4 linked regions of the Lepisosteus oculatus genome follow. The protein of the gene in region 3 interacts with the protein of the main gene of each other region in a biochemical or structural test. Links are inferred from orthologs where the notes say so. Each region holds a gene or a part of one and is shown on either strand. Other genes may lie near its edges. The genes, in order: dgkza, scn4ab, snta1 and adra1d.

What was found.
Region 1: the proteins of snta1 (region 3) and dgkza form a complex in vitro, tested with the Homo sapiens proteins (2 studies listed by BioGRID and IntAct, with this or other methods). The link is inferred for Lepisosteus oculatus from reciprocal best matches to the Homo sapiens genes SNTA1 and DGKZ.
Region 2: the proteins of snta1 (region 3) and scn4ab interact in a test that uses a peptide from one of them, tested with the Homo sapiens proteins (2 studies listed by BioGRID and IntAct). The link is inferred for Lepisosteus oculatus from reciprocal best matches to the Homo sapiens genes SNTA1 and SCN4A.
Region 4: the proteins of snta1 (region 3) and adra1d interact in a test that uses a peptide from one of them, tested with the Homo sapiens proteins (2 studies listed by BioGRID and IntAct). The link is inferred for Lepisosteus oculatus from reciprocal best matches to the Homo sapiens genes SNTA1 and ADRA1D.

The regions. Positions count from the first base shown.
Region 1 is NC_090716.1:4,642,618-4,650,918, reverse strand, and holds the start of dgkza (diacylglycerol kinase zeta), read right to left. Parts: upstream 3,255-8,301; 5' UTR 3,032-3,254; intron 1-3,031. UniProt on the Homo sapiens protein: Diacylglycerol kinase that converts diacylglycerol/DAG into phosphatidic acid/phosphatidate/PA and regulates the respective levels of these two bioactive lipids.
Region 2 is NC_090723.1:7,791,688-7,799,780, forward strand, and holds the start of scn4ab (sodium channel protein type 4 subunit alpha B), read right to left. Parts: upstream 3,143-8,093; 5' UTR 3,026-3,142; coding exon 2,919-3,025; intron 1-2,918. UniProt on the Homo sapiens protein: Pore-forming subunit of Nav1.4, a voltage-gated sodium (Nav) channel that directly mediates the depolarizing phase of action potentials in excitable membranes.
Region 3 is NC_090711.1:15,463,679-15,471,509, reverse strand, and holds the start of snta1 (alpha-1-syntrophin), read right to left. Parts: upstream 3,200-7,831; 5' UTR 3,128-3,199; coding exon 2,836-3,127; intron 1-2,835. UniProt on the Homo sapiens protein: Adapter protein that binds to and probably organizes the subcellular localization of a variety of membrane proteins. May link various receptors to the actin cytoskeleton and the extracellular matrix via the dystrophin glycoprotein complex.
Region 4 is NC_090696.1:7,476,191-7,484,589, reverse strand, and holds the start of adra1d (alpha-1A adrenergic receptor), read left to right. Parts: upstream 1-5,259; 5' UTR 5,260-5,712; coding exon 5,713-6,664; intron 6,665-8,399. UniProt on the Homo sapiens protein: This alpha-adrenergic receptor mediates its effect through the influx of extracellular calcium.

The sequences.
Region 1 (8,301 bases), on a different chromosome or scaffold from region 3:
GCAGAAAAAAGGGTTCATTTGTCAGAGAAGAGCAGTGCATTGTATTTGGATGCTGTGGGCTTTGCATGTCCGCAGAAAGGGCATTCAACTAAAACCTACCTTGAGAACTACTGTATGAAGATCTGGGTTATGAACACAGGGAAATTCTCCTGAAGAACACAAACCTCCGTCTTCCAAGGCAGAATGAGTGAACAGCAACGGAGACGGATGCATTTTGAAAGAGTAACTCTCCTCCTTCTGCAGTGCGCAAACAATTTCTTTTTCGGAAATAAATTCAGTCCGGGTGCACAAAAAGTTGTCAGCAGGAAGATCTCGGGTTTAATCATTAGCAAAGCTCTATAAACTTGGTGTGGGGTGGAACTGGAACAGAAAAACGGAAACTGCAACGATCTCTTGCTCTTAGACAAACCTTCTCCGTTTGCCAAAATGGAACCAATCATGGGCTATACAAGACCACAAAAGGTTTGTTAATATTTTGTAATACTTGGAAAATATCTGGAGAACATACTGTAGATAAGCATTCCTTTTTCTTTTAAATGTGTCTGCCAAATTTCGTCCTTTGATTTTTCCCCGACAAGATCTGTTCAACGCCACAAACCAAAAAGTTTCCCTTACCACTATTATATTTTATTCTGTGCACATCTTACAATGCTTTCCACTTCTCTTAAGGTTTTCTGAGGAGGTGGTAGTAAGACACTCCCCGTACTAATGGGAACTAAAAAACCTGATTAACCTTAAAGCTGGTCACAATACAAAGGAACAAAGCTGAGCACAAAGCTTTGATCTTAGAATTATCTAGGAAAACCAAGAGCATAACTCTCCTACCAAATAAAACTTTCCAATACATTTCAGGGCCCACAGTTCATGATTTAATGCAGAATGAGCACAACCAAGAGTCTGCAACCCAGTCAGCCATCACAGACAACAACTCTTGGGAAACGTGTAAACATTTTCATTTTAAACATTATATTATTCAAACTACTTGTGGTTATTTTATTATCATAACGTCTGTCAGTGAAGGGTGCATTTTGTACTAAAAATGGTCTTGGAAAACCGATCGTAATAACTGAGCAACAGATCGCTTCTTACCAGATGAACCATAGCATTATCTGATCACACCTCTAATCTTTATTTTTGAAAGAAAACCTTTTAGCATTGTACTCTAGCATTGTGAAGGAAACTTACTTTAGGTTCAAAGCTTACTGTATATGCAGATGATTCTCATTTATTCATTTATTCAATAAATGTAAAAAATAAATATCTATCCAACTCAGTATTGAATATTTGGGGGATTTCATGGTATAGTAATCCTGTGCAAATTATTAATTCAACATTAAAATATTCTGGAATAACTCACTATTGCCCTGGTTTCCTTTCCAAAAAGATGTGAGACACCACAAACTTATTACAGCTATATTATACATAAAATGAGACTTTAGGTATACACTCCAACAGAAAAACTACTCAAGCCTTTATTTTTATACATACTGTACTACTGTACCAGTAAATGTATTTGCCAGTTACACATAATGAAATGCATGAAAATGCATGAAATGCATATGGAAGTATTATTTCTTTTGTAAAAAGTGTTTCTAGAACTAGTATTTCCAGAACCTACTCAAACTACTGTTTCCAGAAGTAGTTTTCTTTAATTACCAAGAAGCATATTACGACACAATGATTATGTCTTAAGAAAATAAACCACAAAGGAATACATTTTACACCTAGCAATTGATGTCTGTTAATTACTTGAGAATGCACTGTGACCATCTCACACAAGGATAAAAAACACAGGTCAGTTCTCTGACCAGCATTTCAGTAAGTATTTTTTCAGGCACTGAAAAAAGAACTTTTTTTGAAATTATTAAATTGATAGGCTAAACCACTGCCCTGCCCTAAAAAATAGAAGAATGCATTTCTCTCCCTCTTGCTAGAGCTTCATTGGGACCAGTTTGAAAAGAAAAAACACACAAAAGGCCTCTGCAGTATTTTCTCCCCATCTCTAATCCTCTACACTGTAAACACAACATTATCATCTGCAAGGAATTAAAGCAGCACTAAAGAATCAGTGTTTTTAGGTTTTTCTTTTCAAATTTGTACAATTACTTCACACAACAATTGCACAAAAACATTTCAAACTATTTGCTTTCTTTGGGGTTTTGAAATTGTATCGATTTTCATCTTCAACAACTTGAACACAGTACCTAGTAGTTTACATTAATTAGTTAGAAATTACTTGAACTCTGCAGCTTGATAATAAATTGATTTTGGGAGCAGTGGTTGTGAGACTGTAAGGTTGTGGGTTTGAATCTCAGGAGCGACACTCCTGTCGTTCTCCTGAACAAGGTTCTTCAGCTCAGTTGTCCCAATAAAGCTACACAAAAGGATACAAATAGACATCGCTTGAGATAATATACACTGATTCCTGAGATCTGTACATCATTGATTGATGTCTTAGAAAAACTGGCCTTTGTTTTGAATAAAACTTATTCGATAAAGTGGACCTGGCTTTTTAAGAATCAAAGTGGAAACAAAAATGCATCACCCTATGTGGAACATGACAGTTTCATACTTCACAAAGTCAAACCGTAAAATTCCAAATTCCCCAAAGGAGTAGCTCTAAACGCACTACATGTCAAGCGTTTCGCCATTTGCTTTAAAATGGATCTTTAAGCACAATGACACTCATCTTCATTAACAGAGGAACTGCTAAAAACCATCCCAGAAACACAGAAGTACACTATTGCTTGCACTATAAAAACAAACCTGGTTTTATATTTTTGTACCTTGATGCAAAAGCATTTCTAAAAAAAAAAAAACAATTTAAATTAAATCAGTCCCACTGCAGAATTTTAAATCTTTGTGGTAGTCACTATATTCAGTGTACAGCCACGTACAGTATCAGTGTAAATATTAGAGACCTCTAAAGAAATAAGTTCTGCGGCTTCAAAAACTAAGACAGTAATGCATTCCCAGACCAATTTAAAACAACGATTTTACAAGACTCAATAGTAAAAAATATTCATACAACCTGGTCTCTGAGGAGAGAGAGTGTTTATCATCCAACCTTTCTTTTGTCCTGTAAACTCCAAGTGATTTAAAGAATTAAAAAGTATAGATCAATCTCTTGGAAGGAGATAGGAGACGGCTGGCCTACTGTAACAGACTTGCTGGAGTGGAAAAGCCAGAGAGAAAAACGTAGTAGGGGGGAGTGGGAGAGAGAGACGATGTGAGTGCTTGCATTAAAATAACTCTTGAGCTGGTAACAGAGTGCACTTCCTCTATATGCTGTTGAGTGTGCGCGCGTGCGCGTGCACACATGCACACACACAGTCACTCGCTGGCTCAATCTGCACAGCAAATCCAGCCAACAGATTAACTCTGTCCTTGGTTTCTACAGCAACCATGCACATAAGTGACCTGACACTAGCACGTACACAAACACACACAAACAGATGCACCCCAACTGCAAGTAAACCAGTCCTTTCAGTTACTTCTGCAAAAGCAAACTTTTACCCTGTCAAAAGCACTGGTGAAAAGGAAAAAAACATGCATCAAGACTCAAAGTTTACCCAGTTATGGTCTAGTCAGTGACCTAGAATCCAAATAGATCTGCATCTCTCACAACAGTCACAAGGAAATTGATAAATCAATACGGCACAGAAATCTCAACATTATTTTAACAAATAGATCTTAATGGCCACACATCAAGAGATAGTAAGAACACAGCAGTGTGTGACTATTTAAGTTCTAAATCAATAGCTTACAATACTCTTAGATAGAGCTAAAGATAAACATCACAATTTTTAAAGGAAAACAAAATAAAACAAGCTTGCACTTGTTTGAGATCTGAAACAAAGTGCCAATTAATATGTTTTATGATCCCTTTTAGATATTGTCCTTTAACAAAGCACAGATGAAACTGAAATGTCATTTACTGTTACCTAACCCATGTTTCTGTCACTGAAGAAGATTTTTTGTATTCTGTAACATCCCCATGGAGTGATTTAGAGACTAAAATGAAGCACTCATTAAATGTCTACAAAATACAAACCTTTCAATTTTAATTTAAAAAAATCTGTAGATAGTGAATTTAAAAATGCAATCTCTAAAACCTCTCTTCTCTTATGTTCTTTGAAAAACATATTTGCAGGTTATGTTTTTGATAAATACTGTTTTGATAAAGAGCAAGCTGTAGTTGTTATGAATTTGGGATATATGAATATTAATTAGTCCCAGTTGTTTCACAATGCTCAACAAGTGCCAATTTACAGCAGCCTCTTTAAGCAGTTCTACTTCCTGGCATTGTGAAACAGACATGGCTAATTAAATAATTACTTATTATCTATGATATATTATGTACCCTACTGACACAGGCAAGGATGTTGATAATCACAGCCAGGCTCATCCTCTAGAGCAGAAAGTTCACGCAAGGTGGAAAGAGCAAAACAGACCATCTGACGTAACAAAATCTCTCCCAGAGAATGAAGTCTCTTCGTTGCCGGTTTCAGTTCCGTAGGGTTTACTCTTGCTCAAAAACCTGACTCCTACCTACCAACAGATCTTCCCCACCCAGCACAGATGAAAGACACAGCTTCATCCTCTAATACTCTGAGGCCGTCACAATGGGTTTCACATGTGCCTCAACCCTCGAGAATTTTCTATAGGGCATCTTACTCTGCAAGCTCTCTTGGGAAATAGAGTTCAACTAGCATCTTAACCCAGGATGATGACTCTCCAATTCATGTTCCAAATCTGTACGCCTCACAGGTTCCTACCCCAGAGAATAAAACACAGTTTACAGTATACTGTACATACATGCAAATATTCACATTCACACACTCATATTGCATATGTACACAGAATTCTGAAATGTTTCTTTTTCTTTGTTCACTGTGTGAATTAAAGGGCTTGACTGTGGCCTTGTCTCTGGTGGGTGGAGATACGAAAAAGCCAAATCTGTCCCGAGCAAGAGATGACCTTCCATGCATAGCACACTGTACTGTACCTGGTTTCAATGTCTTTAAAACCAATTATCATCCTCTCATAGCTGGTTCGGAGAATTGAATTTCACACCAGAGGAAAGGCAATCACTCTTTAGATTGCACAAAAGCACACAGAGAAAGAATCCATTTTCACCTGTGATTTCCCAAGCTGAAAAATGTGCTTGTTAACATCCCCACCCCCATGGAAATCTGTCACAACAATTGTTTTTCCCTGCAAAGCCTTTGCTGCCTCTTCGGCTCCTTTACAAGCAAACCTTTCCCCGAGAGACAGAATCAACATATTTCACAAAAGTTCCCTAGTGTAGATAAAGAGGTTTTACAAATGTTGACACCAAGCAGCTAACAAACTCACGTTCTGCCTCAGAGTTATCATTTTCACAAACATAAAAGCCAGATAATTAGGCTCACAACATCCATAGACAGATGTCAAACAAGCACTTTTAAGACAACACTACAGTAGGTCACATTTGTCCAACTGGACCCAACAATTTGGGAAAGTGGGAAACACAGGTGTGAGTCTGGGCTCTGTTATTTGCCAAGAATTACCCAGGGTTCACCAAGCCCCTATGCGCCAGCAGCATTATTATCAAGAGCTACAGCTGCCCTCCGTCTGAGGCCCTAGCTGTGTCAGCGGTGCTTGGGGCTCACAGTGTGAATAGGACAAGGCTGTTTCTTTTCCTGTGCAGGCAGGGAGGTTGGAGAATTGGCAGCTCCAAATCTGAGGCAGGTGAATGAACAGGATAAATTGCACCACCTTAAAAAGGTGCATCTTCACATGCTAATTATCATCCAGCTCTTGGGCAGAAACAGAAGAATGTTCAGGCTGCCTCCCTCAGCACCTGTCGGAAGGCACTTTTAACACACTACAGTGACAAACGCAAATGAGTTTGCAGCAAGAACATTTGATGTGGCAGTTGTGGGAGAGAGCATCGGTGAAATCGAAGAGCTTTCTTCTCACCTGGTCGCCGGCTGAAAAGCAGAATCAGGTGTGAGCTGTGCAAGTGGTTTAAATTCATTTGCAAAGGAAAGCACGTCTTACGAAAGGGACTGGCTGCGTTATCTTTTTTAAACATTCAAAAGTGAAACGGGCTCTGGGTTTGGACCATTTATTTCTTCTTGCCAAGATTGTAAATAACATTTGGTGGCTTCAGTAGTCATTCCTACAGTCAGTAACAGCGTACTTGAAAATAGGAATCTTTTGTGAATTTAGAATGAAAAATGACGTTTCTTCTTGGTGGCTGTGTTTTAGTTTTGCATTACTTCCAGAGCTCAGAGAGGTTGCTGTTCATCATCAAAACGAAATGAACACAGTTTATTAACTGCTTGTAATATCTGATCGCCAGATCCCGGACAGTACAGTTAGCAAGGCTGGACTTCGTCAGTACAGGGATTTGAGATGTCAAAAGGAAAACCCAGATTGCCAACATTAAATGGTGTCAGGAGAACAGTAGGTGACACTCATACTTTAGGATTATTCCTAATTTCCAAAAAAACAAATACCCCAGGATGGTGACTGAGGACACTCTCCTTTGGATGATATTAAACTGAGGTCTTAGGATCTTGATTGTTAATCTTACGGTACTGTTTAAAAGAGTAGGAGTGTTAACCGTGCTGTCTTAGTAAATTCAATGGTTGGTTTATTTAATCTGACCTACCTAAGGTCCCTCTCAATTCAGCACTTGACCAGGTAAATACTCAGCTAGTTTCTTTAGTTGCACTGCAAAACATACAGGTCTATTTACTCTAAAACTTACACCTGCTTACCTATCCAAATGCCCAAGTGATTTGAAAACAGCCCAAAGGTCTATTATAATCTAGTATCCACATCTGTGACAGAAAGATTTCCATCTTCTTTAGGTAAGCAGGAATACAGAAAAAAAGACAAATAAGCCTATATCCAAGGCAAGGCTGGAAACTGAAAGTTGATCTTACAAAATGTTTACATTCTTTTCATCTACAGACAAATTCCAGCCAGGGTTCCCAAAGATGCCATATGGTATGAAATCAAAACTAATCTTTCAATCTGCAAATGTAGTTTAGAGGGTTAAGAAAGGTTTTAACAACTCTCACTCTGCAGTATTTTTCTGTATTTGAAAGTCACTGAAAAAAACAAGGCTGGAGACCTTGGAATTGCTCTGAACAAATGCAAAAACAGGCACCCAAAAGGGGATTTCAGAAATTCTCCTGTCTGGCGATGAGCAATTCCATTTAAAATTTCATCTGCAGAGAAATTCAGATCTGCCCTGCAGCCAAATAAAAGTAAGCAAATCCATCCACAAGCTAATTATAAAAGTGGTCCAAAATTAAATGTGCAACTTAATTTTATATATGCTGTCAAAGCCAAAGCACTTGCCTGTGTAAAGTAAAGTATGGCATACAAAACACAGCATAAAAAGTTATTCAAAACGGTTTTAAAGGGAAAAAAAACTCTATACTCAGTGCATGACTTTTTTGTTTCGAGAAGCTTTCTTAGCCCCGTCTATTAAGAAAGAGCTCACAAGGGCTCTTTTTGTTTCCACTTCAAGGCTGAAACGCCAGTGAGTCACTGACTTGCCTGCCAGGACCAGGGGCCGGAGCCCCAGCAGTGTCAAAACCAGCCCTGGCAGGGGCAGGTAACACGTGAATCATGAGGTAAGGGCCCGGAGGGACGCAGAGAGCTGGCCAAACCAATGCCAAATAATGCTGGTCGTCATTGGGAAGGAAAGGGCAGAAGGAAAAATAGAGCAGGGGTGGCCTCCGGGTCTCTCTCTCACTGCTCCCTTCATGCCTCTGCACAGGGGGTTCTTTCAGTGGAAAAGAACGTGCTGCTTGGAAACCAATGACAACCGCAACAGCAAAGCACCTGAGGTCTCCCAGTGGCAGAAGGTTCTTCTAAATTGGCACTTGGCTCTCAAACTTGCTACCACGTCCCACTGGACAATCATCGCAATGGACGCGCCATTTCAAACACGGAAAAATCAGCCCGGTTGCTTTAATAAGGTGCCGAGGCCTATGAAACACCATGTACTTGGCGTGCCACCCAATTTATCTGAAGAGACACTTTGAACTTAACCGTAATCCAGTTGCCACTTCAGTCCCCAAGTTTTGTGTACACACACTATGCCTCTTTTCAACAGCTGTTTATAATATTGGAGTGCAGTTCCACATCGGCAGTCAAGGAGATGTCTTGCACCTAACGGCTACCAGCAGACTTTACTAAACTTGCACGTCATGCAGCTCATGTACATTATAATCACTGAGAATTAGCCTGCTCCTCTCGCTCAGGAATCACACTCCCTGTGTGACCTCGCACTGA
Region 2 (8,093 bases), on a different chromosome or scaffold from region 3:
GACGCCCCGTTCGTTCTGAGTTCTTGTCTCTATAAGGAGGACACCCAGTGTATAGCCGAGCTATAAATCACACTTCAGATAAGGGCTTGCGGGTTTCCCATCGAAATTGTTCATGGCTCTTCAGTGGTTTGTATGCTGTCCCCGTGTTTGTGTGGGTTTCCTCTGGGTGCTCTGCTTTCCACCACAGTCCAAAGAGAAGCTGGTGGGTTAATTGGTCTGGTGTGTTTGTGTCAGAGTGTGCCCGGCAATAGACTGGTGTCCCACTCAAGGTGTATCCTGCCTTGCTTATTGGGTTAGGTCCCAGCCCCCCCACAATCGTCTATGGGACAAACTGGCTAGAAAATGGATGGAGAAATAGATATTCACTAACAGTATCAGTACAGCATCAATAAACATGCCAGCTGACCTCTACTTGCAATTATTAACACACTTAAATTGTGCTCATAAAGCACAGGTTTACAAACACATAATGTAGTGTTAAAAACTGTTTCTCATTTGCGTTTGCAACCCCTAAACCAAAGTCTACCCTCTTCTAATCATGGGGGGACTTAGACAAAACAAAGCCCAAACCTTGGAGCATCAAAACACTCAGGAAGGTCAGATTCCAAGCCTCTTATTGCATCCCATTGCAAAGAACCAGTCCATCCGAATAGCTGGATACATTCACTGGCAATTTGATTTACATAATAAGGGCACTGACTATGTTCAACGCTGTAGGGAGTCCACAGCATAGATGTTCCCCGGAGGCAAACCCAAAACATTTCACCTCAATTCCAGCAACAGAGAGACTACATTTTATCCCTACAAGCAGGAATCTACATTGAGAAAAGTATATGGTGGCAGTGATGTGCCATTTTTCACCATTTTGTATAGCACATTATGTCTAACAATTACTTATTATGATTTCCTTCATCTATCCATCTTAAGCCCTTAATATATCCTTATTTCATTTATCCTAAATGGAAGCCTAACCCAGCAGGTAGAGCACACAAGGTTAACTGCACCCTGGAAAGGGTGCCAGTCCTTCACAGTGGGGCAAACACCCACACACACACAATTTAGATGTTAAATGAGAAGGAACTGAGGGTTTTAGGGCTGTAGTGAAGGTCTGGGGACTAGATTCTCAGGATAGGTCTATTTTATTTGTTTTTAAATATTACTCTTTGCTTAGCGGACACTGTTGTCCAGGGAGAATTGCAGTTGTTTACAATATACAATAAGTCGAAAAACCAAAACAGAAACCATAACAACAACAAAAAAGACAATATGAATAATTCCATCAATATCCAATAAAGAGCAGCATGAAGGTACAGTAATACCACGCAGGGACAGGGCAGAACAGTTGTTTCGCAATGAGGTCATTACAATGCAAATCCAGGGGGAGGCAAAAGATAACATCACAAAGTTAAGACAGCATGCGACCAGAAATCAACAGGAGTAGTGCAGTACATACTGTAAATACAGGTAGCCTGGGAGTGACTGAATGTATAACTGAGAGAGAAGACAACAATGACATTACTGCCCCTGTCAAGTGTGTGTGAAGGCAACACACCTGCCCTATCTATCAGCTGAAAGTAATTAGAAGATACATGCAAAGCAAGTTATTATATCAAACCAAAGGTGCAGGAACGCCAACTGTAAAACTGCTATTTTAAAACAGATGAGTTTTTTTTATGCACAGAATTTTTAAATTCCTCAAATGATTCAACCTAAGAAAGAAAGCTGGCCGTTTTATTTTTGACTGCGAAAGAGCATTTTCTTCCAGGGTGTTGACGTGGTGAAGAAGTTCTAAACGGATAATATGGTTATCCCTTTTTCCCGTTGTTAAATTGCAAACAGATATCTCCCTCGCAGCCTGAGCAGAGCGTCTTTAAAGACCAGACCCTTTCCAGCTCAATTTCAATACCATTTTCTCTTCCTTGCTTCTCGCATGCAACCCCTCTCCTGTGCACTCTCCTTGCCTGCCTGAATGGATCTGATTTACTGCCATCTTATTCTCTCGGCACCTTCCAAATGCTGATCTCTTCTTATTACCCCCTCTTAGACCCAGCTACACCAGAGCTTGTATTATGTTTCCATAATTGCCCTCGTTTACCGGTTTGTGCTATTTTTTAACAACTCAGCAAATCCTTAAAATGACTCACCTTCATGAAAGCTTATTAATAACATATTGACAAGGTAGAAAAGATTCATTTTGAATTTTGCTTATGGGTGACACTTGCATTGTACGTCCAATACTGGAATTCCTGTCCTTGGCTTAACCGAAGTTTTATTATACCTGATCCTACTTGTGATCATATCTATTATTTCCTTTTGCATCTGTATGTAATGTCAAATATGGCTAAGGGTGTCTAAACAAAATAATAATAATAATGAAAGTAACAAAATGAATTTCAGTTCTAAAGCTCCTATGTCAGTGACAGATACAGGTACATTGTACTGCACACTGTAACCTGCAACAACCAGAGTGCCTGTTTCTCCTTCGCAGTCCTTTTTCAGACAGGCAAACAGTTCCTGTCCATCTGGTTTTTTGTTCGGAATGCACTTATTTCTGGAAGAGGCGAAAAGGTTTCAGATTTAAGTTCATGACTGTGAGTGCTTTTTAAAAAAAAAAGAAAGAGCAAATTGTTTTTACTCTGTTATCATGCAGCTGAAATGCAAAACTTTTTTCAACAGCTACACATGAGTGTTGCTTATCTGTATTCTCAGTCCCAATCCAGTCCTGCACTTTGACTCTTTCATCAAATTTCAGCTCAAACTATAATATGACCTAAAATATTAAAATATATAGATGAAGGAAAATTGATAAGGGCAAACAAATGAACCTTCCAATGAAGGGTCATTTTTGGAAAAGCAAAGCCGGTTGTGCTGTTTGAACTACCTCAAATAAAAGATTGTTAGCAAATCTTGTCACTTACAGGAGCCTGCGAGGGAATCGTAATTGTTTCCATTTCCAGACAGAAGTGGTTTTATTCTTTTCCCAAACTTCTAGTAACAATTTGCTGGACATCTTGTCCGGATCCATGACTTCAGTTATCAGTGAATGTTCCTTCCCGCAGTCTCTATTTAAAAAAATGCTCCCTTTCTGTCCCTCAAAAATGAATTTAAAGGGTCCTTTTGTTCATTGGCAATGATTATGAAATTTTAAGTTCCACCCTCTGGCTGCATTTGAAAGAAATGAAGCTCAAATCAATATTCCAATGTTTTTTCCCCCCAGTGCAGCACATTCCGAACTTTTCCCAGAAAGTTCACTTTTAGTTCTTCCTCTTTGTTTTCTTTGTGACAGTTGATTGTTCGCCTCATTCGAATTGTCCACAGCATGGCATGTGCCTATGTTTTCTAGAGGTTAATTTTGTTGAGGTATTAATCTTTGAGTTCCTCTTCACCTCTAAACTGAATTGACTGGGAGAGGAGCCTTTTCTGCTGTTCTGAACACCCAGACAAAGGCAGATTTTAACACTTAACATGCCTGGTTTCTTAAGACAAAAAGCAAGTGTTTCTTTTTTACTGTATAAACTGTGGGATGTCTTCACAGTTCAGCAATACTTTTATCCAAGTCAAGCCAAAGACATCATGAATGCCAAACGTGTTATTCAAACAGGTTGTTCAATTTAAGAGCACATGGCCGCCAGAAACTGTGAGAAAAGGCCCCACTCATCAGCCTAAAGAGTCTGGTCCTTTTTATGGCATAATCTGATTTTAATTCCACAGAAAGAACACAGACAAAGAAGCAGTGTTCTTTTCTTTTTCAGTAGTTGTCTGGAAGCCCGCCATATGCCTCCCTAAAAATAAGTAGGCTCTTTCTTAATTGCTGTAGTGTGTACAGGGCAGATAAAAACAACAATAGATTCTGAGAACATCTCTGGACTAGGTCAATGTCACTCTACATCCTATTGGGCTCACTAAGAGGTCAGTCTGGCCAGTCAATTATCCATCATAATGATGGATGTATTTACTAATAAGCCATCCATTTTCTAATCATTTCTTCCAATTCAGTGTCACAGGCAAGGCAGACTGTGACACCCTAGATAGGACCCCAGTACTTTGTGGGGCACACACACAGATACACACACACTCACCCTTTAGGCCAATTTTCCCAGGAGCCAATTCACCTACCCGGAAACCTCACCTCTTAGCGGAAACCCACCCAAACAGTCCATCAACAAAGTTAATTGAAAAGAAATACATCGCTTTAGGTAGGAATTACCATACCTTGGATTTTCCCTTTTTAATACAGCAGATATGTCTCTAAGCTGATAATTAATTTGCTGTATGTGGAGTACCACAAGTATCTGTTTTAGGATCCCTGTTCATCATGATTTGTACAGTATCAATGATTTAGACACTGGTACAGCTAGCACCTAGTCAAGCTTACAGATGATACCAGACAGAAAAAGAACATAAAGTATACATATGCAATTAATAACTCTACATAACAAAAAGACTTCCTGTAGAATTTGTGTATAATTTTGCTCAAACGTAGAGAAAGATACTTCTGCTCTGGGATCTGTCCAGAGAAGAGCAACCAACTGCATTCTCAGACTGAAAGGAAGTGTCCTGCACTAACAGGTTAAAAGAACTGATATTGAACAGAGAGGACTTCAAGAAGGATATCCAGGCTTCTTTAAAGAACTGGTTAGTCATGATCCTCAGATCAATTAACTGCTAAAAGTCCAATAAGTTTAAATGGGCGAGTGGTCTCATCTGCTTACTTTCTTCAGTAATGTGCTGATGCAAAGTAATCTTAGTTTGCACGGAAGTTACAGAAATATTGAGGTACTGAAGCCCGTTTTGCATCGGTGACTATACCTAAGTAAGCAAGGTGTTACCGTGGACTTTATATATAAAATAAAATAAAGCGTTAGAGAGAGACACAGACGCGGGCTCGTAAATCCACAGGTCTATAGTAATAAATAGGTACAGAGGAGCTGATAGGCGAGAGGGCGCAAATAAACGACAGAGTGGGCTTGGATGATTTGGAAGATGTGCTCGGGGAGAGCGCAGGGCTGGGAAAAGCCAGCGCTGGGTCAGATACGATGGCCGCCCAGCTGCTGCGGGCAATCACCAGCAGCGTCGGGTTTCAGCAGGCCGATGACTGCGCTCATTCCTGCCGCTCTGAAACCTCCAGCTCTCACATCGCACCGATAAACAGCCTCGCATTCCAACTCGGCTTACCGGCTCCCTCTCTCCCACTTTCTATTTTACTCGGGAAAAACCCGCTCGCTTCCGCCTGCCCCTCCCGGCCAACATGTCGCTTCGAGTTAAGCTTTCATTTTTTCTGCCAGAAATGGCCAGCTCACAGTTATTTTCCCACAACTATTAGGCTACACCGTGCCATTCTAGTGGTCTATAAAAAGGCTGCTGCTTATATCCAGAAGGTTATTTTTTTAAAGATATTCTCCTAGCCAAAGGGGAAGGTACAGACTTAGAAGATACTTACTAAAGGGGGTCTTTTAAAGTTGTGAACGATATTTAATAAGTGCCTCTGGAGTTCTGGAGTTTAGGTCTAAGTAGCTACCTGTGTCTGAATTTCTTTTCTTTTCACAAATAAATACAGAACCTTTTACAGTGTTATCTATATACCTAAAACAGTATATATGCGACACCTAGATAAAATTACAAAGCCAATAGAATTACTTTTGCCCAGGTGCATCAGCTCATGTATCATTTTGAATGCTTGGAATCTACCTGTGTCTGAGCTTTTAAAGGAGAGGAGAAAGACAGGGCTGGAAACGCCTGTCCTGTTGGCAATCAGAAAGCTGCTGGGCCCTATTTAGGGTGTTAAAAGGGAGATCCATCCCTCATGGTGAAGTCACCTCTGATTCAATTGTGAAACGGGCTCGCCTGTGTCTGTTCGGGGACAGTGATGCCTGTAGCAAATCAAGAAACGGGAAGGAAAAAAAAAGTGTGTCTTTTGGGAAAAATTTACAGAAGGGACAGAAATCAAACAAAAGCAAAATGTGCTTCCGGCTGTCGAAATAGTAGGCCGGAAAACAAAGCAAGCAAAAGCTTTCATCTGCAGAATTGTGCATCACTCCTCCGGAAAATTGTGGCATTTATTTTATTAGATTGCTACTGAAATGGGAAGGGAAATGAGACGCAGGCCAGTCCGTACAAAATTTGGAGAGCACTTACTGAAGGTTCCTACTTTAGAGGTAGGAACCTGGAAAAGCAACAGGGTTGAGGGTCATTATGGGGTCATTAATTAGATTGGCTCGCAGATTTCCTCCTGTGTATTTCAAAACACATCCTCATTGCAGTCCGTCTGAATCAGGTTCATTAGAACCCATTAACAGCAGTGATACTGAAGCACTTTAGCTAGCTGCAATTTTTTTCTTCTTCAAACTAAAATGGCATTATGTGTGCAGCTTCGATGAGAGGAGCCAAGAAAGAGCAGGTCAATCACGTATACTGTAGGACTACGTTTTTAGGAGCAGATCGCAAAGTATCTGAAAACATAGCGTGGCATGGATACTGTAAAAAAAACAACAACTTCATTTCTGTCTGAGGATAATGGGCCTGGAGAACTGAGACAATTAGTACAGAATGTCTCCACAATCTTATAAACAAAGATGAAAATGGCAGATGAAGCAGGACTGCACAAGCATACTCTTGATTAATTAATGAACACACTGCAATAAAATGCTGAATTTGGCTTGGAATTAGAAGATAGACACATGTAACAGCCTCATGCATGACCAGTTTCTGTACCCCCGTTTGCCTATAGCTCAAACCACTGTTGATACCAGCAATGTTTTCAGCGCTCGTGAAAACACCCAATATCTTTGTTCGGTTTGTTAGGGGGGCAAGCTGATGAAGTCATGCTTTATGCTGGACAATAGTCGCCTTTTCAGCCCTGCTTTTGCTGCGGAGATCTGTGACCGCCGTGGAATCCGACAGTGGAAAAAAGAGCTGTGGGGCTGGAGGAAATGAGCAGTACCAGTCCCTGTAAGAATAAAAACATCCCTGCTGTAGCCTGGAGGTCACAAAGGCCACAATTCGCAAGGAAGGTAGGGAATAATGCTCGGAAAGAAGACTTCACTTAGCCCATAGGCTTGGGATCCCAGTAAGGATGATCCACATGATCCTGCACAGGATGTGCCAAGGAATATGGATGTATATAGGAAATATAGGAGTTGTTTTACAGTAGCTAGGCATGGAATGTGAGCTAGGAGTTACCATCAGGAAGCTAATTTACTCAATTTTAGGTTTTTGGCTCTGAGGGTAGCATGCTTTAATACACTGGATACTACTGCAGTAACAGTCAGGATAGAAATACCTTTTCTATTATTGTTGAAAAAATATCAACACTGTGAAACAGAACAAAAGTAAGCAAATCAGTAGGAGATCACATACCCCACTTTTGTTCTGCTAGCTGATTTAGGTCCTCTTTCTCAGGTCTGACTTTTCTTTATTTTTTCTATAATTCTTCAATCTTATTTTAAGAAATTGGACACAGTCTAGAAAGTAAGCAGCCCTGCGGGAGTGGGCTTCTGTTTTCTTAAAGGTTAGTGGTGGGTTCTGGTTGGTGTGCCCTTAAGACATATGCCTCACATGACAAAATGTCAAATTATCAACTTCAGGTTTCAGACTGATCAGATTGGTAACTCTTGGAGTCACCCAGAAGATTCCCTTGGAGAATGTAAATTCTATAATGTAAATATATAATGTATAGAAACTGAATTTCAAATTAAGGCAGAGACCAGTTGCACAGTTGCACCTTTTCTGAAAATGTCAGTTCGTATCCTGAATAGACTCCATTTTATATTAGCCCAGAAAACTTTGGAAGACATATACTATCCTCACAGTGATAAGATAAGAAATATATTTTGCCTAGAAGTCCAAAAAAACTGTATAGGTGGACATACAGTACTGTTCACTTTTTAACACGACACTGCTGAAATACATATTCTACTGTATGCCAATAAACTGGTCAGAAAGTCTGTGAAGAACTGGGACTGCGAGAACTTTTAGACAACACGTATTGCTCTGTTAAATGTGTACTGTGCAGTCACCTGGGGTTGCTTATAGCTTTTTTGAGGGTAGGCCTAAATCTGTGATTAGAGATGCAGCAGGTATAAAAACACAACTCA
Region 3 (7,831 bases):
TGCTAGATAGCCTCATTCTGTTGATTAAACCTCAAAGCAAATCAGTCACCTGAGCAAACTATTATATTTTAACTTCAAGGGGAAAAGAAAGCAGTGCTCCAGAAATGAGATCTTGCAGTAATCTTGCATATTCAGAAAAGTAAAATAAGACTACAGGGAATAACTGCAAACTGAATGTATTTTTAAAATGAAGAATACGAGCCTTGCTTGCATGGCTTTGACTTGTACTGGGATGCTGTGCTGTCCTTCAAAGAAGACCTTATCATTAAGGATCCATAGGCACTATTGAAAGATTAAGGAAGCTAATCCCACAGTCCTGGCTAAATTCTTCTTTGAGCTGTGCAATCTAAAACTTTCCACAATGGATTAATTAGGTCCGCACTTTTACGTGAAGAACTTTGGAATCTTCATTAATGAAAATTATTATTATTACAAGTACCACTACTAGTAGTAGTAGTAGTAGTAGTACTACTACTACTTTAAGGGGTGGCATGATGGGCAGGGATTACCACCTCTGGGTGCCTGGGTTTAATTCCTGGCATGCTATCTGTGTGGAGTTTGTATGTCCTGAAACAGGATTCCTACAGCAGTCAAAAGAGTACTGATAGATTAACTGTCTCCTAGAAGGTTTGACCATGGAATGAGTGTGTGTTTGTATCTGTGTTTGTGTCTGTGGTGTCCTGTGCTAGACTAGCATCCCATCCAGGGTGTATCCTGCCTTGTGCCTGTTGCTTGTTGGGGTAGGCTCCAGCTCCCCCTGTCTCTATATTGGAAAAAAGATTAGAAAATAGATGGATTATTACTTCATCACCTCTTTGCTTTTTTTAAATGTCAAGGATTTGTACTGAACTTTGTTGCAAAAGAACTTGCAATTTTATTTATCTGTGTTTATTCGTCCACAAATTATAAGAGTTTTGAAGTTGGTACTGAATTTTGTACCAGAAAAGTTAAAGAGATTATACAACCAAAGTGTCTGTTTAGCTTCCTAAATTCTTCTGCAAACTGTTTAAGGATTTGCCGGTCTGTCCTCTCATCACTGATCTGACTTGACTTGTCTTACTATATAACTAAAACTATTTGTGAAACAAATGATGATGGACCAGACAGTAAAACCCCGTATCAGTGAAAACAAAGTTAATAAGAAGGGAAAAGTAATCAAACAAGTACCTGAAATCTTTAAAAGTACTGTTTCCAAACTAATTTCCCCCCTCCACATGCAAACAACAACTACTGAAAACAAAATTCACACTATCCTAAGATCCAGTGATTCTACTTAGCTTTCTATTCCGAAAGGTTACAGCCTGTGTAGATTTCTTTCAACAGCTTGTCACATTTTTTCAGTCCCGCCAAGAATTCACTTCACATTCTCTAAACAAAAATAACTTTTAATAGTTGTGTGATGTGTTTTAGGAGATCATTACATTAAAGATACTATAGGTTTGTGGGAGTAACAAGCTACCAGCCACATTGTCTAAGATGATACCTTGGCGTCTTCCAAGAATTATATGGGTGATTTCCTCCACTCAGGGCAAGAGTCGCTTCTTTTCATAAAGAGTTGTGGGAGTATGGAACAAGCTTGCCAGCCATGTTGTGGAAGCCAATACACTTGTTTCTTCTCAGGAAATAGGTGGATGAAATTCACAGATCAAGTAGCTAATAACTACCAAATGGGTAATTGTAAAGGCTGAAATGTTTTTATGCTCTTATATTTAATTTAAAACTGTATTGTGGCACTTCTACTTCTAGTTTTATGTTTGAAATCAAGCTGTTCATTTCTTCCCACATAGTTAAAAGGACACATAGCTGAGTTTATTTTTAACTCTGTACCTTTTTGATTCAGACACAATAAGAAGTGACCAATCATTATCAAATAATAGAACTGTGATACTGTGGCAAATCTTTCTTAAAATATTTACAACCTAATTATAAATTATAATGTTTGCTGTCAGTAGAAGGCTACTCGATGCTATCTTACGCATAGAGTGGTCAGCCCTGTCCTGCCACAATGCCGTCTTTACTGGTCTTAAACTCACTGTTCAGTACTCCATTCACCAATTTTTAAACTTAATTTTTGACCACTTAATCTGGAGAATGGCTCGATTTGCAGTTTTGAGATCATTTGAATATTAAATCCTAACATTCTGTTCCACGCGAGGAAAACATGAGTTAAGAGAAACAATTGTTTTAATGAATTTGTCATAACCGATACGTTACAATTCTCGCTTAAATCATCACTTAGTAAAATAATTATCAGACTGTTTCTCTTCAGGATCTTCCCTGAACTGTATACAATATTTAAGCAGTAAAACTATAGCAATGTTAATCACAAGTTAAGGCACAAAGTAATCCGCTGTACTGTACAATTCACACGCCGTTTTAGAACTAATGTTGCCTGTTTTCCTAAACTGGGATATTCTCCTGAACAACTTCAGCAATGGAAACTGCTGTCACAGAACACTTGTTTCACGTGTTCAACAGCCCAACAAATGCAATGCCAGTCATCTTACAAAATGCAGTTATGAAGGGCAAACATTTTGACCGAGGTTTTCTTCTTCGTTCTGTATATTTGTCGGAAAAACAACACTCACTTGAGCCCAAGGAATTTCACCTGATAACAGTCGATAATGTGATATCACACATACGTCCAGTTGTCTTATTCGGGAGATTAATGATAATCATAATTTAGTTTGTACATGTAACTACATGTACACAACGAAGGCTGTCAAGAGCTGTCGACTTGAAAACAAACTTCAATGAAAGAAGTTTAACTTCAAGTAAACTTTTATGTCTTAAGTTACAAAGCAATGAAAGTGTGAGCAAATTCTGTTTTTTTACCTTTAATGCTGATTCCCAGACCCCCAACATCCTGCTTGGTGACTCGCACCGTGCGTTTGACGTTGGTGATCGACTCGGGGACTGGAGAGCTCGACCCGACGCTGGTTGAATCTCCGTTCACTGCTCCCAGGGGATTTGGGCTCAGGCTGGGGTTCACAGGCTCAACGGTAGCTTCTCCCGGACTCACCGTCAGGCTTTCCTCCGTGAGACAGGCGAGCACACGGATCCAGCGATCCACGGAGGTTCGGAGCTCCAACAGTCCAGTTTTCTGCGCCTTCATCCCGGCAGCCATGTTCAACACATTCCTGGAATAACTCCACTCTGTACGGGGTTGGCAGTCCTGTACAGAGATGGGGGTGGGGGGTGATGATCGGAGATGCCAAGAGAGAGGAACACCACGGACCCTCCCCTCTCCGTCTCTTGCAATCGCGGCGCTTAGCTCTTTTTCTGCTTTACGCATTAGAAGTTGCTTTGATAATAGTGACAATCCAGTGAAGTAGGCGCTTTTAGAAAAAGTTCAGAGATGTTTAATGGCCGAATAAAACTGATTACTGTTTTTTTCTCTGAAGATGGCTTCTCGAAGTGAGATTCCAAGGATTGTAGTGCAATTATTATTATTATTATTATTATTATTATTATTATTATTATTATTATTATTATTATTATTGTTATTATTATTATTATTATTATTATTATTATTATTATTATTATCAGTAGCAGTAGTAGTAGTAGCAGTAGCAGTATTAACAGACCTAACAAAAGAAGAGAAAAGGCAGCAAAATGCCCTACGTATGCACTGTTCCCACTCCAATGGAAAATAATTGCAGAACATTATATGAACTTATTTTTCATGAATTGTACTACATACTGTAAGCATATTAATTTACAATATAAAAATATCTGTGAAACAACTTTCATAATGCACACATTTATCGTCTGTGTCTGTGATCTTTTTCACTATCACGTGGATGTGTTGCTCTGGAGAGAGAAAATTGTGCTCAAGGCCAGTCAGATCATTTACCAAAGTCGCTCATTCCCATTTTACAAAGCACTCTGAAATTAAGCAGTAATTAATTTACCACTTGTTCAGTACTTAAGCTCGAAATGAGAGTTTTACACTTGTGCTACTGACTGAAAACGAATCATCTCAGCTGCTGCATGTAAAGGTACATAAATATAATACTGTGCTCATGAAGGCCATATCTAAAAACCAGGGGTGGCTCCAGAAATATATTTTTTAGCATGAGAGGAGTGGAGCCATTATGAATATTTATGTTATAAAGTGTTTGTAGTTGTTATCTCTGCAGCTACTAATTTAGCAGTGTCTATATACTGAGCTTGTTAGTGTTTCATTAGAAGGGATTTTAATTAACATCGATTTTGACATTTACATTATCTTTACTGCCATAAATATCTTTAGGTGGGATGGCTTAAGTTCCCCTCCACAAATAGGTCAGACATCAGTCCATTGGGCAGAGTTTTTCCAGTTGTGTGGTGGCTTCAAGTTACTTAAGGTCAACTAGCAAAATGTGAAACAGGTGGTAAAGGCTTGCTGTCATCCATACAGGTAACATTGTCTTGGCATTCTTCTGTCAAAAGGCAGCTAGGTTTGGGCAACAGAAAGTCGCTGAATCGCTGTGTGGCCTGCAGAACCTTGCAAACCGACGTTAGCCATTTCATGCAGTGCTGTGAGCGTCAGCAGAAACACAAAGCAAATCATGATAAAGAGTTACCTGACCCTGTGGCCAATGTGCCTCTACCTGCAGGAGGTTGACCCCTTGACCTACAAGCACTTCTGGAGCTATCGCAGTGCCCTGTAACTGGGGGTGTCAGCTTGGGCGGTCTGAAAGGCCATGCAAAATGCCAGGCAAGCCAAGGAGCTGCAGATTCCTGAGGACTGAACACTCGGGGGAGAACGTCCTGTGTGGGGAAGACAGGAGTGAAGGACAGACCATAGCAGGAGTCAGTAGTGCAAAACCTAAAGGAGCATTGAAGTGCATCTGGCACTAGACAGCAGGTGAAATAGCAGGAACGCCTGGACCATATATGGAATACTTAGTCGCTAGGATTTCCTTTCTCTCTTTATAGGATGAGCCTGACAGGTTGTATATCATCTTTCAACAGGAGGCGCACTGTCTGCTGAAAATGAAGTGGACAGTCTCTTTTGGAAACAGAGTACATTTACATACAGTAGAATAGCTAAGGGGTAGCCAGCTTTGGTCATGGCAAGCCAATCCAGAAGGTTTTGTCAGTCATCATTACCAAGCATTACCAACTGGCACCACAATGAACCTGAATTAAATTGTTGTTTGGACTGAGCACTTAATCTTTACTGAAGAGAAACGGCTGCTTAATTACCACAGGGGACAAAAACAATACAATATGAACATAAATAAGTATCCAGTACTCCAGTAAGTATCCTTTTTTTTAAAAGCTGTAAGTTTCTTGTTTAAAGTGGAATCCTAATTTGCACTGGCTACTGAAACGTTCATCCGTAAAAGGAACAGTACACATCTGATTACTTATGTATTCAACATACTGTGCAAATGAAAACAAAAGTATAAAGACAGTGTAAATGGCATCTTGTTAGTAACAGTGTCTGCAAATAAGATTTAAATAAAATCTTTAAAATATTCTGGTTGTTTTTTTATTATTTTTATTGCATGTAAAATTATTTTATTGTCAGGCCAAGGGCAGCAATCAAGCAGCAATATCAATTTACTAAGGGTTTACTTCTCAATTCAGATGTTAATTTATTTCAGTTTCAGAGAACTCTTGAAATCCCGCTCACATGTAAAGTGACTGGGGACAATGGGTTCAACTGACAACTCGGCCCTTATGAACTTTCTCATACACTTGTAAGAACATGAAACATTTTATTTTACCACATAAGTAGGTCATTTGTGAAAACATCAACACCCTGTATCTCTAAACGATCACCTCTGGACATTCCTGACTGAAGTGAACAGATGAACATACCAATACAATCAAACTAATCAAAACTAAATTAATAAAAGAACTGCTGTTGTAATACACTCTATTTCGATACCAAAGAGAATCCATAAAGATTTTGTGAATAATGTCTAATAAAGTGCAATTACTTCTTGCAACATGTCAGTTCATGTTACATACAATTTATCAAACAGTACATCCCAGCAATTCAAAGTTAGACAGCCTGGAGGGGTGGTGTATCTGCTGGTTTTCGTTACAATTCAGCTCTTAACTACCTCGATCAATTCATTGCTGAATTAATCAATTTAACAGCTTCTCCCAGCTCTAGTTTGAGTGCAGCTTTGAGGAGACCTAGAAAACCATCCAGGACCAGGACCAGGACTGTCCGCCTCGGCGAATGTTTCACGTTGAAGGAGTAAATTATAAGGAGGGTTGAATGCATTTTGCGATAGCTCTTTGAATATCTATTTCCCCCTCGTGGAAGTATTTCAGTATCGCAATGTAATCACACTTTTAAAAAATGCCGTCACAACAGACAGTGCTTCATGATCACCGTTTCTATCGTTGTTATTGTTATTGGTTATAGAACAAGGAACAACATGCTTTTATTTTATTACTTTTACATTTACGAAGAGTCCTGCCTGCGATATATATTTTCGTTTTATATTTGATATATGTAATGAAAATTTATTTTGGTTTCAGCGTCAACAAAACAGCTTTCGCAATACTGTGTGATCAGGTGGTAACAACTCTTGATGGGACATGTTTTAACAATGGGTGTGAAGAATTATGAATCACACTGATGTGTCTGAATCAGTTCAGTGAGATGCTGTTATTGTTAAATTAAATTTTTGATTCGGTGACAAATATATTGGGTTGTTCTTGTCTTGTTGGAATTAAAATGTTTTAAATACACTTTGGAGTCTTCAGGTGTCGTCGCTTATCAAAATAAGAAACTTGTTTTTCTGTTTCTTGCTGTTTTCAGCCTTTCATGGAAACTTCATTATTCGGTCATACCAAACAAAGAATAGAGTAGTAGAATTGTTTGTCAATTCTGGATTGGTTTAGTATTCGTGGTTTAGTTAGGAATTTTCTGTTTTTAACATTTTTCTGGGTTCATCACCATGGCACCCGTTTAATTCATTTGGTCTTGTTTTACCCGAGAAACTGAAGTTTGGCACTGCTACGAACTGTTTTCCTGTTATAATTACAAAAAACCCTATATAATTTCATAATTTTTCCCTCATTAACTAAAAACATAAATTAATTTACGTGGATTTTAAATTGAAGAAAAGCACGACCATAGTGGTCTCACCTGTTCAGTTACAGGGCAGTTCGTTTGTTTGACAGAACCAATAGACTGGTTCTCCATAAAAAAATCAGGAGGTGTCGCTATTGTTACGCTGATTTACAATTCAGTCCTATACAAAGATATGAAATACATTTTCAAAGAAAATGAAAAAGAAAGTTATGATCAGCAACAAACAGAAGACACCGACTAAACCTAATAGCTAATTGAGCACATTTTTCATAATACGACAAAAGAGTTATTATTAAGTTGTTCTTAAGAAGTTAGACTGATAACCTCTGCAAACAGTATTTAATTTATGTTTTATACAACTTGTAAATAATTCCTTTTTTGTAAACGAATAAACTGGAAATAAAATCTTTACCTCCATTGAAAACACGTGTATAAATCAGTTACAACAGTAATTATACTAATAAATTACTTGTAGGTGGACAGATTAGCATCACTAATAATATAACATTTTAGGTGTATCTCTCATTCTGACTTTTCTTTTAACTGGAATTATTTGTTCTTTGGTATGTTTCACATTGTATTCTCTCAGAGTTGTCTTCTGAAACACAATAATTTACTAACTAGAAAAATAAATTAGTAACCATTGGAGCTATCATTTCCTGCTGTTTAAATTAAATCTAAATTTCAGAGCCTTTGTCTATCTCTGTTTTGCCATTCAAGATCATTGCATTGCAAATATGGCAGGTGGCTTAAAAAAACTGAAATGTTTTCCATCTGGATAAA
Region 4 (8,399 bases), on a different chromosome or scaffold from region 3:
GACATAAGAACAAAAAAAAAGACTACAAAAAAAGATTAGGTAATTTGACCAGGTCTGCTTATTTAAATGTTGAAATATATTGATCTAATCACAATCAGCTTTTCCTTTCAGAATAATCATTGGTTTCTACATAATTACCGGATTGCGAGATTCAGTCACCTACAGTATACCTCCTCCTTTCAGTGCTAAATATACTTCTTATATAGTAATTTTCACTTGTGTCCTCATGTACTTGTGTCATTGATGAGAATGAAGTAGTCTCTCAGGCTAAATGTGCAATACCATTCAGGGTTTGAATGCTTTGATTAAGTCTTTTCATAATTTCCTCTCTTCAAGGCTAGAGGCTGCGAAAGGGGTAATTTTGCTTCGATATTTTGTTTAAGGTCGACTCTTCAAAACTGCACCATTTCTTAAGCTGAACTCTGTGACCTTACTGACGCTACACCAAGGGCCACACTCACTTTACTTTGCTGAATTTGGGTTAATTTCTTTTACTGTAAAAATACTTTTCTTTGTAACCACTTAATGCAAATTATATTAGATTAAAAAATGATTACATTTTCTATTTATTTACTAATTTGAATGCAGGATTTGGCCATTGATATACAGTACACACATCACGCTCGTAAACCCCTCCTTGGACGCTCCAGCCCTTCCTTGTCTCCATCTCCAGCACCTGCTTCTGGTTCCTGCCCCATGTCCTATAAAAGCCAGACGTTCCTGCCAATCTGGTCTCAGCTTTGGAAGATGGACGCCCGGAAGCCCACCTCCCCGCGAGTCCAGGAGCGACTCGGCAGCATCGGCTTCAATGGCGTCCTGACCTTCTGGGTCCAGGACTGGAGCGTCTGGTCCCGTTATCCCCCTTTTATTCCTCCAACCCTCCACCGGATCCCGCTCCTGCCTTTTAACTTTGTTTGTCTGTCAGGTTGGATCTCCCAGTTTTGGACATTGGAATATTCTCGGATTTGCCTCGGACTCCTTCGGACTGTTTGCCTCGGACACATCCCTTGAACACCAGCACACCTAGAATACGCCCCCTGTTTTCCTTCCAGCCCCTTTGTATGCTTCCCCGTGTTTTCCTCACTTCTCCCGGATTGTGCTGTCTGCATAGGGTCCTGAAAGAACGCTTCGTGACAACATATATCCTGTCATACTGTACACCTTTCCAAATTCAAGTGTATAGTTTTCCATGGTTTCCAAACACATGCTGTTTAGTCATGCAAGTGATCCCTACCCAAAACATTTGTGATTCCACAGCTTGAAACAGAAATGCCAAAAGGACATGAAAGATGTACTACTGCAACAAAACTGTGACTTCCTGGTCAAATGTTTTTTTCTTATCCTCCAAACCCATTCAATTAGGCTATTTTTGAGTTTTGAGTCTTTACATATGTTACAGATAATCTACTGTACATTAAGGGCCAGAGCCGGCTTTACTTCTTGAGCAGGCTCACGTCCTTCAACGTGTGTAGTAAGATGCTCCATATGTTCTATCAGTCGGTTGTGCGAGTGCTATTTTCTATGTGGTGGTGTGCTGGGGCTCTGGCATTAGAGAAGGGGATGCTAACAGGCTGAACAAGCTCATCAAAAGAGCAAGTTCTGTCATTGGGTCTGATCTGGACCCCTTGGAGGTAGTGGCTGAGAGGAGAATGGTGAACAAGTCTCCCATCCCCTTCTATGACACGCTTGTGAGAATTAAAAGCATGTTCAGCAATAGACTGATCCAACCATGGCACAACAGGGAGCACTACAGGTGGTCATTCTTACCTCCTGCCAAAAGACTGTACAACTCATCCACTGTGTGTCTGGGCAGGGGCACCATTGGCCTGTTTTGTGTCTAAACATTAATTCTCTGTTAACAGCTGGTTTTCCTGTTTACAACTGATTTTTATGCAATATATGCTAGAAATTGGTGCAATATATGTATAATATGCACTACATCTTTTGTGTACTGTACATTCTGGTTTGTTTTGTATCTTCTGTAATGTGAGCAATTCTGTATACTCCATTAAAACAAATTACTGCACTTCGCACTGACTGTACTCACTGTATTGTATTGTTTATTATTGTATCTTTTCATTACACTGTGCTGTGTTGACACTGCAATTTCCCTCAGGGGATTAATAAAGCTATCTAATATATCATGTTCCATTTTGTGTTTGTTGTATTTTGGGAAATAAACAATTAAAGATAAACACGTGGTAACATCCATCCATCCATTCTCTAACCACTTCATCCAATTCAGAGTCACTGGGGAGCTGGAGTCTATCCTTAAAAACAATGGGTGCAAGACAGTATACACCCTGGATGAGACACCTGTCCATCACTGGGCACACACAGACACAGACAAATAGATGCACTCACACTAGAGCCAATTTTGATGTATGACTTATACCGTACTTAAAAGACAAAAACAGAGCACCAGGAGGAAAGCCACACAAAGGGAGAGATTTTACCACAGGATGAGAGAAGGAGTTGTAGTGAAGATGCTATGCCTTATTCTCAGTAGAACTTTTCAGGTTTTATCATGTGAACATCAAGGATCAGTGAACTTTCTTATTGCTTTAATTATATTGGGTAAATCTTCACCAGACAGTTAAGTGAATTACTGTTGGTGTGATGGATTCGCACAACAATACATTCAGAGACAGGAGAGAAAGCGTTGTCCATGTTACATAAGAAATGTATGCACACATAGCCCTATCAGAAAGGGTAACTAAAAGAAAATGCAACAGAATGGAGAATGGACTGTAATAACTATGCTGTTATACCTGGGTTAGCCAGAGGTCGCAGATCTCTGTCTCCTCAGTAACCAGACATATCAGCAAGAGGACAATGTACTAGAACACCACCCTGGGCTGTTCAGACTCTCTCGGGTCCGTTGTCCCTACCACCTTCTTCCAACAAATGGGTGCTAATTCCCTCAAGTCCAGGAAATACAAAAGAGAATTTGCCACTTATCCAGTGCTCTGTCATTGAGGTACCATCCAACCCAGGTAGTGTACTAAGCATTATTAACCTGTGTCTCAGAATGACACCCAGCCTGAATCCTACCTGAAAGACTCCCTGTCTGTCCTGAACCTGCTCAGCCTTTCTGTTGTCGCCAACCACCAGACCAGGGGCACATTTCTTCACTTGCAGCCTGTATTCCCACTGGAGAGTGTAGCCTAGATCAGTCCTGAAAGCTGCGTTCGCCATCTTTCACAGATTAGTCCCGTCTGCGACTGCCTTCCGATCTGCCTCAGTAATCCCCATCCATCCTTGTGAATGTCCGAGCCTTCGCCGGGATCAAGCTCTTGGATTCATCAGCCTGTCAGCAAGATGCCGCTTTTCTTATCCGGTTGCTACATCAAAACAAACACATTTTATTTATGTGAATGTAGTGAGTGTCAACACATGAACGATAGAGTTGTGGCATTCTAGTCTGTAGTAAAAAATATCAGAATCTATTAATCTAATCTATTCAGTCACATAATGCTCTATTTCTTATCAACAAAAGAACTCTCTATCACCTTACCCCACTAGGACAAAAAGAGAGCATGAACATGGAAAACTTTATCTAGGATGTAGCAACAGAATCACGAGACTTAAATTTTCCTGTACTCATTGAGTACCCCACTTACATTTCTCTGATCTGATAGGAACTAATACAGCATATGAGCTATCTGGGTGAGAAAATAGTGAGGAAACATTCAAATTCAGATCACACTTCAACCACTTTGCATGAAAAAAATCACTGTGTTGAAAATTGATACGTGGTTGTATTGAATAAAACAATCAGCCTTAGACATGTACTTTTCCAAATGTGTTGTATCTGAGCTCATTTTCTGACTTTTGCTTCCTGACTAATTGGGTATATTAGTGTCAGTTGCAGTTTGTAAATGTGAAGGGAAGTGTCATCTCTGATCACTACAGCCCTTTCCCTTGTTTTATAAAAAGTATAACTTATCGTGCATATGCTGAAATCATAAGCTATATCCTAATCTGTTACTGATTACGACACAATCAGGCTAGGTCTAAACAAACAAACTAAAGTCTTGCATGCCTTATACAGTACCTCCAGCATTTTCAGCATTTTATCAAGTGAAAATAAGGTGTAAAGGGCATTACACAGTGCTGTTTAAAAATTCATAATGGTAACTATACCCACAAGTAAAAAATTCTAAATTATTATCATTAATTTATTTTCCTGGTGCCCAAACAAATAATTACAGTATTACTCACTGTCCGGACAATATTTCAATGTGGTTTTGTACTTCCACTGCTTATTGATTTTGATTTTCTTTTTCCTTTGAACAGAGCCAGTTCCTTAAACAAATATGGCATTTTCTAAATACCTACAAATGGTGTTTTCAAAAACAAAAACCTATGGCTGCCATTGCCATGAACTCATAACTGCCAAAAGGGAAAAAGCTGCTGTACACCACAGTAGTAACAGATCTGTTTCAGTTGTATCATGAAGTCAAGTTCATGATGAAGACAAGGCTGGGGAATTGTGCCACTTAATAGTGAATAGCATGATACCAAGTGAGACATAAAAAAGACAGGGGATTAAACCTTCTGTAAAATTTAGACACAGCTTTTTTTAGATTAATTTCTACTGCTATTTCTGAAGACTTTTTCTGTGTCCTGCTCTCCAGTGAAAAGTCTTTGCAGTGGTGCAATATTTCAGAAATATTATTACTAAGAATTCAAGAAAATGTAGGAAGGCAAAATGTTCATAAACCTCAACCGTCTTGAAGAATAACATCCTGAATGAATTATAGGACTGTGTGTTCCTTTAGATTACTTTCCCTCTTAACCTTTCAACATGAGCCTCTGGTGGCTCTTAAAATAAATGTCTGTTTTGCCAGAGGGATGTGTGCAGTGTTTTGAACAGCAGCTGCGTACCATCAATGGGAATAGAGGTTAGCCTTTCGTTAGATCAGGACAGTGTAGTGGCTTAACAGTGTTTTTTCCTTCACGTAGCGACGACTAGCTAGGCAAATCGTTACGTGTTCCACTTGAGCTCCGAGTATCGAAACTTAAATCTGCCTAACTTTTTTAACTACATCACAGAAAGAGAAACATAGATGAAAGAAGTTTTAACGCGATTGTGTAGAACATGATCTGTAAATTAAGAATGTGCTGTCCTCTTGTGGACTTTCGTTGAACAACAACAATTATGTGTCGCGTCACAGACTACATTCCTGGGAGGAGGAGACAGTGAAATCTCAGCCGCAGCTCAGTAATTTGGGTTTGAGTTTTCTCACAGTGGATGTCGTCTGTGGAATATCAACAAACAGGGCAATACTCTTCACACGGCAGAAAACAAAACGTTAAAGGAATATCGTTCACAGAACTAATTTAACTGTCACTAATAATAGTAATGGAAAAACAGAAAAAAAGTTGAAATAATCTAAGAGGTGAAATGATCTTCAGAGTGAGATATATTGCTAAACTGATGATTTAGAATTTAACCTTTTTTGGTGTTTTTTTGTAGGGGGGATGAATGTGATGACGTTGCTGCAAAGCTTTCCAACAAACATGTAAGCACAAGTATTTCCACTCTCCAGTGCGACAGACGCACCTTGAGCGTGCGTTCACAAGTTCTTGCGTCTTTTCATATCTTTTGAATTATTTCCATACTGCAGCTCCACAGCAGTGCTTTAATGGTCTCATTGTGTCTCTGAACTAACTTAAAAAAAACGTTTTTCTTTATGGAGTTTCAAAATGACTTTTTCTGACTCGAACAATGATAACGATAATGGAAATTACTCCGGAGGCACCGGTAATCTGTCTCTCGCGGAACAACCTTTTGCCAACATCAGCAACAACACCTCCATGGAGCTGACATTGGATTCTCAGGCAATAGGGATAGGGGTGTTTCTGTCCGTTTTTATATTATTCGCGATCGTGGGGAACATCTTGGTGATACTTTCTGTGGTATGCAACAAGCACTTGCAGACAGTCACCAACTACTTTATCATTAACCTCGCCATAGCTGATTTACTTTTAAGTACTATTGTGCTGCCTTTCTCTGCCTCTTTAGAGGTGCTCGGATGCTGGGTTTTTGGCAGGATATTCTGCAACATCTGGGCTGCGGTGGATGTGCTGTGCTGCACTGCATCTATTATGAGCCTGTGCATAATCTCGATAGACAGGTACATCGGAGTGAAACATTCCCTGAAATACCCTACTATAATGACAGAAAAGAAAGCGGTGGTGATCTTAATAGTTGTCTGGGTCTCCTCTATGGTTATTTCAATAGGACCGCTGTTAGGATGGAAGGAACCGCCGCCGACAGACGAGAGCATCTGTAGCATCACCGAAGAACCGGGCTATGCCCTTTTCTCGTCGCTTTTCTCCTTCTATCTCCCGCTCATGGTCATCCTGGTGATGTATTTTAGGGTCTACATTGTAGCCAGGAGGACTACTAAGAACCTAGAAGCGGGGGTGAAAAAAGAAAGGAATAAGTCAGTGGAAGTCGTCCTTAGGATTCACTGCAGAAGTGTCCTGGAAGAAGCCGCCGCAAGCGCTAAAAGCAAAAGCCACCCTTTCCGAAGTTCCCTGTCCGTGCGCCTCCTGAAATTCTCCAGAGAAAAGAAGGCGGCCAAAACTTTGGCCATCGTTGTCGGGGTGTTCATCCTTTGCTGGCTACCTTTCTTCTTAATTTTACCTCTAGGTATGTAAGAAATCGTTATTTTGTTTTTGTTTGTAGTAGTGTGCGGACCAGGGCGAAAAAAGGTGTGTTCTTGCGTTGAGACTAAATGTGGCGTGAGAGTGTGGGGGATTTTATCGATTAGGTTACCCAGTCTAACAAAACTACTAACGTCTCTTTGTGTAAACAAACGTGCAATGTCGTTTCAGTAAAACAAACAAAAAAAGTGATTACCTATCCGTGTTAATGGACGCTGTCAGAAAGTAATGCAGGCGCAACTGATCTCGTTCTTATTGATGCTGCCTTGATAAAAACGTAGAAAAAGCTAAACGGGAATTTTGCTTTTCTTTTCAAAAATATAAAATAAAATGTGTCTTCGTATTCCTGCAACACCAGCAATTGACACCAGAGAACTGATGCGGTGAACAAATTATTTTGACTAAATTACAAAAATTCAGTAAAAAAAATACTTCATATTAACTAAAACAATCGGATTGTAGAGTATGCTTAGTTTACAGTGTAAAGTAGCGTTTAGTGCTGTATATGGTTCAGAAGTGCTTCAACATATCATGTTTTCTATACAATGCAAAAACAGGTTTAGATGATGGTCATAAAGATGTTTTTCGTTATTAGTCACTCTCCAAATAAAACCAGCTATATAGATATAACCAGGTTTCGTTATTCTTAAATAGAGATTCAAGACTTAATTGAAGACCAAATGAAAATTAAAACAAAGTGAGTTGGCAAAGCTCTTCTCTTTTTTCCCTTTCTGGCAAAGTGTGGGAAGAATTAATGGCTTATTGTTTAAAACAAGTCCACTACTCAAACTCACATTTCAAGGCATTCTAGACTGTGAATCCAGTAATTTCAACAGTCTGTTAAGTTCTATGGCTTTTAAAATCTATCCTCTGTAAATGGTCACATACCTCTATCTAGAGAGATTGTATTTGTCTTAAAGTCTTGCTGAAGTATTTGCTTTTCCCAATATCTTCTGGTACAATTAACTGCCACACTTGACAATTATAAAACTTTAAATGTATGTTCTTAACAAATTTAGCAAATATCATTCATGTTAGGTTTTCAGTTCAGATACTCTTAGAGTATTTACGTTTAGTTTACCAAAAAGTAATATTAATATATTTTCAATTTAAAACATATAAATCTCACTGTTTTCACAATCAGTTATATCATATTGCTTAACTGTAAGGAATAAGACATCAGGATACTCAGCTTTCAAACTCTTGAGATCATGTACTGTATTATTACGTAATTTTATGTAGTCCTATAAGAAATTAAATGCATCTGTATAACCGAGATATATAGATATTACATCTATATACTGTATAACATGTAAAATTAGGATTCTAATTATTCGGTTATGTCTTTCATCTTATTACTTATTATAGACACTTTTCCACTGGTTATTTTGGGTCATGAGGGAAAATTTCTATCCTGTGTTCCCATGAATAGAACTAGGTCTGGTTCATTAATAACTTATGAAACAATACATCAATGAGTCTAATCTGAAAATTCCCTTGTTCTAAAATGTAATGACTCTCCCTTTTTCTCATAATGGACACAGATTGTGTACTTGAAGACATTGCACACATTAATACATTAGTGAATATCAAATAAAGTCAAAGATATTTTTTTTCATAAGTTAAATGAGAAGGAGGTTGTTGGTTTTCCTGGTATGTTAAGAAGAACAAAGCTTGACAAGTAATGTGTTAATTTAATCTTCAGTGATATGCAAATATCA